2 linked regions of the Oryzias latipes genome follow. The protein of the gene in region 1 interacts with the protein of each later gene in a pairwise test. Links are inferred from orthologs where the notes say so. Each region holds a gene or a part of one and is shown in the gene's direction. Other genes may lie near its edges. The genes, in order: vbp1 and pfdn4.

The links.
Region 2: the proteins of vbp1 (region 1) and pfdn4 interact in binary tests that used the Homo sapiens proteins (3 or more experiments, as listed by UniProt). The link is inferred for Oryzias latipes from reciprocal best matches to the Homo sapiens genes VBP1 and PFDN4.

What each region holds. Positions count from the first base shown.
Region 1 is NC_019876.2:19,815,245-19,819,069, reverse strand, and holds part of vbp1 (prefoldin subunit 3), read left to right. Parts: intron 1-318; coding exon 319-385; intron 386-778; coding exon 779-877; intron 878-1,474; coding exon 1,475-1,613; intron 1,614-3,825. UniProt on the Homo sapiens protein: Binds specifically to cytosolic chaperonin (c-CPN) and transfers target proteins to it. Binds to nascent polypeptide chain and promotes folding in an environment in which there are many competing pathways for nonnative proteins.
Region 2 is NC_019865.2:24,677,462-24,682,083, reverse strand, and holds the start of pfdn4 (prefoldin subunit 4), read left to right. Parts: upstream 1-1,737; 5' UTR 1,738-1,820; coding exon 1,821-1,850; intron 1,851-2,198; coding exon 2,199-2,306; intron 2,307-2,598; coding exon 2,599-2,739; intron 2,740-4,622. UniProt on the Homo sapiens protein: Binds specifically to cytosolic chaperonin (c-CPN) and transfers target proteins to it. Binds to nascent polypeptide chain and promotes folding in an environment in which there are many competing pathways for nonnative proteins.

The sequences.
Region 1 (3,825 bases):
GTCATTAAAAACACTGGTAATCCCACTGGATGTTGCTGAAAGGAAACTATATGAACGAATCAATTTAATAATAGAAATAATGGATCAAGTGGTTTTACTTGTGATTTATTGCTATATTTGGACATCTCTAAAACTTCCCCTTTTCAGTGGATCCATAATGACGTTCCATAAATATTAAAATATTTTTACGTTTGTGCTGTTTAATATTTTAATTATGATGGACATTAAAACATTGTCATCTATTTATTTTGTTTCTTGACTGATTTCCTGAATTCATTGCTGACTTGACAAAAACTACTTATTTATCTTTCTCTTGAGGTTGAAAAATCAGATCCCACAAATCACACAGACGCTAGAAATTCTACGACACATGCAGAAGAAAAAGGTGAGACTTTCATTCATCCACCTTGTAATTTTGTCCTGGAACACAAGCTGAAGGGTGTTGTCATGTGGAGTTTGATTTGCAAAAGTAGTTAAGATGTGTATTTGCAGTTTTTTTTTTTGACAAAAAAAAAATTGCTTTTACAAGCTGTTTATGAAGTTTTAGAAAAAAAACATTTATATACACAAATACGTTAAAAAGTGAAAAAATTGATATTTCTGCTGGTATTGTGTAAAAGATCACTGGAATCTGTTTCAGACAAAGTTAAACTTGCATTTTGACCAATGACACACTAGTCTAAAGAAGCAGACTCGTAACAGTTTAAAATGGTCATAGCATACCAACCACACAACTTCACAATAGATTAGGTTTTAATAATTTGTGCTTTGCCTCCAGAAAACCACAGAACCCATGGAAACACATTTCCTACTGGCTGACAGCGTTTACTGCAAGGCCTCAGTGCCGCCCACTGACAAAGTCTGTTTATGGTTAGGTGTAAGTAGAACTCAGATCCACAGTTCTCAAGCTTTCATTTAGTCTCAATGTAAATGAGACAACCCTGGACATTAGGGCTGCACGATATGAAGAAAACTCGCGATATGCGATATTAGTAATTAATATTGCGATAACTTATATAACGATATAATTTGCGGTATATAAACAATTAGCAAAACAACCAAAAATATTATTCCCATTCCATTACAACAGCTTAAAAATTATAGTACAAACGACCCTTGTTGACGCAGGAGGCGAACATACAACATAATAGGGCGCCATCCGATTAGTTAACAACGTGAAGGGGTCCATCTGATTGGTCAAATGCAGAAAGGGATTCTTTCAATCCATTAAATACTTCTAGCTGGCATAAGATTGTTTGGCCACACCTAAGGTAACCATTTATTGCAAATTTGCTGTCTTTTGCGATATGCATATTGCACGGCTTGATATTGCGGTAACGATAAATTTGCGGTATATTGTGCAGGCCTACTGGACATAATTAAATGTCTTCTTTTTTTTTACTATTAATGCTAAGTGCAGCGATTTAATGCTTTTATTTCATTGAATGAGTATCCTTTTTTGCTTTCTCATTAGGCTAATGTCATGTTAGAGTACGACATTGATGAAGCCCAGGCTCTCCTAGAGAAGAACTTGTCCACAGCGTCTCGCAACCTAGAGACTCTGGAGGACGATCTGGATTTCCTGCGAGACCAGTTCACCACCACCGAAGTCAGTATCCTTCAGTGTTGTCTGCACAGATGACAAGAGTAGAGGTCATGGTCACACTGTTGCTAAAAAAAACTTGTGTTCTCATCTTATTGCTAACTGAATTTATTTCTAATATTTAAGTGAAAATGAAACGTGTCTCTTCTAATCCTTTATTATATATATTTAAGATCCCACTTTAAAATCTGATTAAAAAACATTTTTTTTTCCTCAGTCAGTAAATTGTCATGGTAAGATCTGAAATATCTAACAAATATCTAAATATCTAACAATATCTACAATACTTTAAACATAAGAGATGCACTGAAGGAACAACTTTCAGATATTTTTTTTTTTTCAGATAACTAAGAAAACTACACTGAAAATTAAAGCAAAACCTTTTAAGTTCAAACGAGAACATAAATAATAAACTAAAAAAAAAAGCTGCATTTCTAGACCAAAATGCAGGGTTCAATGCTATATTGCGGAATGAAATTTAAAGGGTAATAACTGGCAAAAGAAAAAATTTTAAAAGAAAAAAAGAAATTATCAAAGTTGACCATAAAGTAAAAACGGCACAATAACAAAAAATATATTATTGTGAAAAATATCAGCACCGGGAATCGAACCAGCAAGCTTTTGCACCAAGGATTTCCCATGTATTTCAATGGAGGCAAAAACCCTGGAATATTTTGAAAAGTTCTAGGATTTGAATGACCAAAGGTCATGGCTGGAAAAACCTGCAAGAGCTTTTGATTTTTTTTTTTTTTAAATTACCGGCCAAATTATAACATTTTACACATGAAATTGCATAAAAGTAATTTATAAATAGTATGAACACTTCTTGATTGAATTTGAGTTTACAGTTAGATGACAAACATGCTGAGGAAAATAAGGACAGATTTCCTATTTCTGCTTTCAGGTGATGGCATTTTAAAATTTAATTTAAAAAAAAACAGCCTGAAAATAGTATGTTTTTGATTATTGCCGTATTTTTACGACCATAAGACACATTTAAAAGTCTTAAATTTTCTCCAGAATGTAGGGGGCTCCCTATGAGGCGGTGCGCCTAATGTGTTTTTGTGGGGCGTAGAAGACGGCATGAGAACGGGGGAGGGAGGTGTGGGCGTCAACAATATTGTTACAAAATCCCGGAAATCCAATTTAAACTGCAAACTATTAGCTACACGGAGGAACATGGGAGCATCTGCAAGAGAATCAAGATGAATGAATGCATGGTTCACAAGTGGAGGAAGCTGGAAAATGAACTCTGACAGTAAAGATGACGCAGCTAAGTTTCCGCAGGAAAAAAAACATCTCGATTGACGATTAACGATTAGTGATCAGCTTGGAGAAGCTTCTCCGCACTCACCATACGACTGAGGGCAGTAACGCTTACAGAGGAAGCTTTTGCTTTTGTTTTATGAAACAACGTTATCTTTTCATCCGGGCGAGGATTACGGTGCCGCAGCGACATCCAGCGGATTATAATGAAAAGCTGTTCATCTTCCGCTCGTATTGCATTAAAAAGATCGACGACAGACACCCCCAGCCCAGCCACATCACCATCATGGACAAGGCGCCGCTGACTTTCGACATCCCGGTGAGTCACACTGTCGAGAAGGACGGGAGCAGCGCGGTAGGATACACATAACGGGGCACAGCTTTTATTGTTGTGGGAGGCAGTGCCATATTTTGTGAATGGATTGTAGAAGCTTGGTATAACGTGTTTGCTTGCACTGCTTTCGAAGTGGCTAAAAGCAGGCAATATTCATGAGGGGCCGCACGGCGACGAGACGGACTCCGACAATGACCAAAGGAAACCTAGCGTGTTTGATAGAAATTTAGTCCAGCTGTTCATTTCAGATACAGAAGATGAGGACTTTGATGGATTTTTGGATGGTGATTGATGACTGAAAAATAAATCACAACCATCTCAGTTTTGCTCCCGCTGCCTTTTTCTTTAACACACACTAGCATGCATGTTGTGCCGGTATGTGTTAACGTGCCCGCACCTTAAAACCCAGTGCGCCTTTTGTATGTGTTAAATACCAAAAAATCACTCTTAACGGAGACTGCGCCCTATAACCCAGTGGGTCCTATGGTCGTGAAAATACGGTATATCATTTTATCACCCAGGCCAATGATGAATACAGTCAGATGGTTTGTCTTATCATCTTCAAAATTTAAAGCATGTTTTTTAACATTTAAATTAAATATTTATGTAATTGTATATTTGG
Region 2 (4,622 bases), on another chromosome or scaffold:
GCAAAAACAGACAGAAAGCTCTGCCAAAACCACGGAGGATTTCCTCTGATGCTGTAAGAGAGGGAAAAAATAAGATGAAGCGCTTTTGCAGATGATAAAACAACCGAAAAGTTCTGCTAAACAGGTACAACTAGTTAGTTTCTAAGATCAGCTGAAACTACGGCTGTTTTCACTATGTAGAGGATATTTCAAATGGCTGAGAAAACAATACTGTAAAACCAATAAAAACGTTACAGTTTTGTTAAAAACGAATCATTTAAAGCAGGTCTTCACAATGGGAGACCTGTAAGGAAGCCATTTGTTAAACTCTGCTGCACAACCCTTTTGTTGACATAAAATGACTTCTGTTAATGACAACAAGTCTATTTTTCTTCTCTTTATGAACAAACGGCTGCAGTTTTTGAGAGGTACTTTCTGCACGTTGAAAAAGATTAAACCTTCTTCAAAAAAAGGTGTTTTTGGTGTTTTTAACGTTTTCTTCTGGCATTTTTCGGATGACGGAGGTTATAAAGAAAGTCACATTTCTGAACAGTTGTTGATTCAAATGGTTGTGAACCAGAAGAAGAAGAAGTCTTGATGAGCTGGCATCTGACTCAAAACTGTACGGCTGTAGGTTGGGGGCGTGAGGGGCTGTAAGCTACCAGGAGAGCAGGTAAACCGAAAGCTCTATACAACTATGAAAGGAAGGAGCCCCACCCACAACTCAAAAGCAAATTTCTAATGAATTCCTGCTGCTCTGCAGACACTATGTTCTACACTATGACACAGTTTTTTTTTTGGTTATTCTTATTTTAGCTAAAACTGCACGAACATAATTGAAAACCACATGGGAACACTGTTAAAATGGATCCAAAGATGATCAGAGTCAGTCTTTAAAATTGCACAACGTCGTAGTCTTCCTTGAGCATTTTTACCTGTTTGATTTGGGTCAATGTACAATTGAGAAGAGCCATTGCTTGGTTGTCTCGGTTTTTTTGTTTGTTACCATTTGTGTTATTTGCCTCTTCTGTTATAGAAGTGTCAGAAGAAGTGCTGTAGCCTTTAACTTTAACATGTTGGCCTTTGATTTTTTTTCTAATCTTTATATAAGAGCTGCACTGTGGTGTAGTGATTAGCACTGTTTTCTCCCAGCCCTGGTTTGAATCCCAGCTGGGTCCTTTCTGAGTTGGTGTGGTCTCCTTGTGCACACTGACTTCCTCCCACAGTTGACAAACATGCTTCATAGGTTAATTGTTACTCTGAATTGTCCCTGGATGGGAATGTGGGGTTGGTTAGCCCTGCAACAGACTAGTTACCTGTCCAGGGTGTACCCCCGCCTTCAACCAGTGGTGGCTGGGACAGGCTCAAGCAACCTCTGGTTCCCAAAGCAAGTTTAAAAGGCAGATGGGTGAATTTTCTATGTCAGAAAAAAAACAACTTCACCAATTTCTTTCTGTGCTTAATTTAATTTAATTTGTTTTAATTTGTTTTAATTTAATTTAATTTAATTTAATTTAATTTAATTTAATTTAATTTAATTTAATTTAATTTAATTTAATTTAATTTAATTTAATTTAATTTAATTTAATTCTGCATGGTCACATGTGCCACCATTAGATGGTGTATTACTGAGAAGCACTTTTAAAACAAAGAAATACTTTTCCAAACTCAAATCTTTTTTGTCTTGCTCATTTAAACACATTTATTTCGTGTCAAGCTCCTGTTGGCGTTAGAAGGCGTTCAGTGGGTTGTGTAGTAATAACCATCCAAGCCGCTAGGTGGCGGTGTCGCTTAACCTCTCTGTGCAGCAGCAGCGTCTGTTTCCCGTCGAAGAAGGCACGATGGCAGCAGCCACCATGAAGGCAACAGCAGTAAGTGCCTTTTTCAAACAAATATTCTGTTTTCTTCCTTTGATGATGCTTTTTTTTAATTTTAGTTATAGAAACTGTTCAAACAAGAGGTTCTGCTTTCAAAGTAAAAGAGTCACTTGCGTGTGCTAGTTTTGTTTTAAAGCGGCGGTTTAGAAACGTGCAGCGTTAGCTAGCTAACTCTAATGAATCAGAAATGTAACTGCTAGCTCTGACATTTACGACAATTATAAAATAGTAACAATTAAAGAGGTGGCACAACGACACACACATGATAGTTAACTTGTCAAGCTAACTCTATCTAAAGCTTTTGAGGTAGTCTCTGTAACGTGCAGTGTTTACTTTTTTCAGGGCGTTGAAGACATCGTGGTCACCTTTGAAGACCAGCAGAAGATCAACAAATTTGCCAGGAACACGAGCCGGATCAAGGAGCTAAAAAACGAAATCGAGGCAAACAAAGTAGGTAGAGGAGAAATCCTACAACTGTGTTGACCTACAGGTTGAACAAAATATAGAAAAGTAACTAGAATTTACCCTAAAAACTGCAGGTGGATAGACGAATTTAAAGTCACTGCCTTTATTTATTATCATTGAGTGATGCTTTATTATGAAAGAACTTTTCTCTCCAGAATCGTAATGTTATGTACAAATGTTGGCGAGGCATTTTGAAACACAGCTGGATAAGCACCAGTTGACGTGTTTTGTTGTTGCTTTCGCTCATCTTTAACAGCCGCTTGATGTCTCCTCTTAGAAAACTCTGCAGAACCTGCAGGACGCCAGTGATGACATCATGATGCTGGATGACGACACCATGCTCATCCCGTACCAGATCGGTGGCGTTTTTGTCAGCCACTCGCAGGAAGAAACGCAAAAGATGCTGGAGTCTGCAAAGGTCAGCCTGAAATGATTGACACTTTGTTTGACACAATTAGCAGTCAGACAGACGCAGATGTGCAGTTTAAAAAAAGAAGACAACTTTAACTTTTTTTTGTCTTTTTAAAGATTAGAGCAAAACAATAGATTTCTGTTTATTAGACTGCTGACCAAGCAGCAGAGAAACAAGGTGACTTACTCAGACTGGATTTCACTTCTATCACATTGAGGTCTGTGACTACTTTAGTCTTAAAAGGTCAATAAAATATTAAGCAATTTTGCAGAAGTTCCTTGCTTCAGATATACTTTAACTTTAACCTTCAGATATACTTTAACCAAAAAAGTGGATCCACCTGGATTAATTTTAAATCACAACAATGCTATATATATATATATATATATATATATATATATATATATATATATATATATATATATATATATATATATATATATATATATATATATATATATATATTTGGGGGATATATATATTTGGGGGATTGTTTTTACAGGTATTTTTGTGAGCAGCAAGCAGACGATATTCAAAACCTTTTAAGAAGACAATTTGATCTTGCACGCATTTACTGGGAAGATTTGTCGTTGATTTACATGATCCAAAAATGTTACAGTGTGAGAACGAGTGGCCGTTAAATTCCCTAGGTTTATAGACGGACTCGCAGAAGTTAATAGAGAACTGATTTCTTCTGGCAGAGGAAGTAGAGTAGAGCTGTTTTAAGAGCACACCTTCCAAAACAACCATTACCATCTGTAAAAAGTTGCTGTTTTACTCCTTTTGTCCAAATCAGTTTGCAATCTACGCCAAGATTGAAGATTGATTAAAAAACAAAAAAGAATAAAGCTCAGGTGTAGTTCACAAGGTGGCCACTAGGTGGCCCCCTTGCCCCCTCTACTTGAACTTCTCTACAGGAACAAACACATTTTTTTTTTATCCCAAAACCTGACAAGGATCCTAGACTTATAGACAACAGAAGACCTATCACCTTAAGAAATTCAGACTACAAATTATTACCGTACATTTTCGCTTCTCGTCTCAAGACCGGACTCTCAGGACTTATTGCGGAAACACAATCTGGTTCTCTGAAGGGCCGTTCAATTCATAATAATATAAGACTGGTTATGGACATCATTGAATACCGACACCTTATAAAAGATAATGGTTTTATTCTCTTTCTGGATTTTTACAAGGCCTTTGATTCAGTGGAGCATCCGTTTATAATGACAGCACTGGAAAATTTGGGTTTTGGTACTAAATTTAGAAACCTAATCTATGGTCTATATCAGAATATCAATAGCTGTGTTATCCTTCCTAATGGCACCACCCCAAGTTTCAAAGTTGATGTAGGGATCCCTCAAGGTTGTCCCATCTCTCCGTATCTGTTCTTATTAGCCACTGAAATGTTGGCAATTTATATTAAGAATTGTAGTGAAATCAAAAAGTTAAATGTCTTGGGCACAGAGATCATTATTAGCCAGCTAGCAGACGCCACAACACTGTTTTTAAAAGATGAGCATCAAATTAAAGCAGCTATTGAAAAAGTAAAACACTTTTCCAAAGCATCAGGGTTAAACTTACATTTAAAGAAATGTGAACTGTTGGCTATTCATGACACACCTTTAAAAGAAATCAATCATATCCCCATTAAATCAGAAGTTAAATACTTGGGCATCTATATCAACAAAGACCAAAAAATAAGGCAATCAAGGAATGTGGGTGAAAAACTTAATGAATGTAAGACGAGGTTGAATATGTGGCTCCAAAGAGATATTTCGCTGTTGGGTCGGATCTATCTGACAAAGATGGAGGGTTTGTCTATATCAGTGTTTTTCAACTAGTGTGCCGTGGGAAATTGTCCTCATTAACTGATCTAAAAACATTTT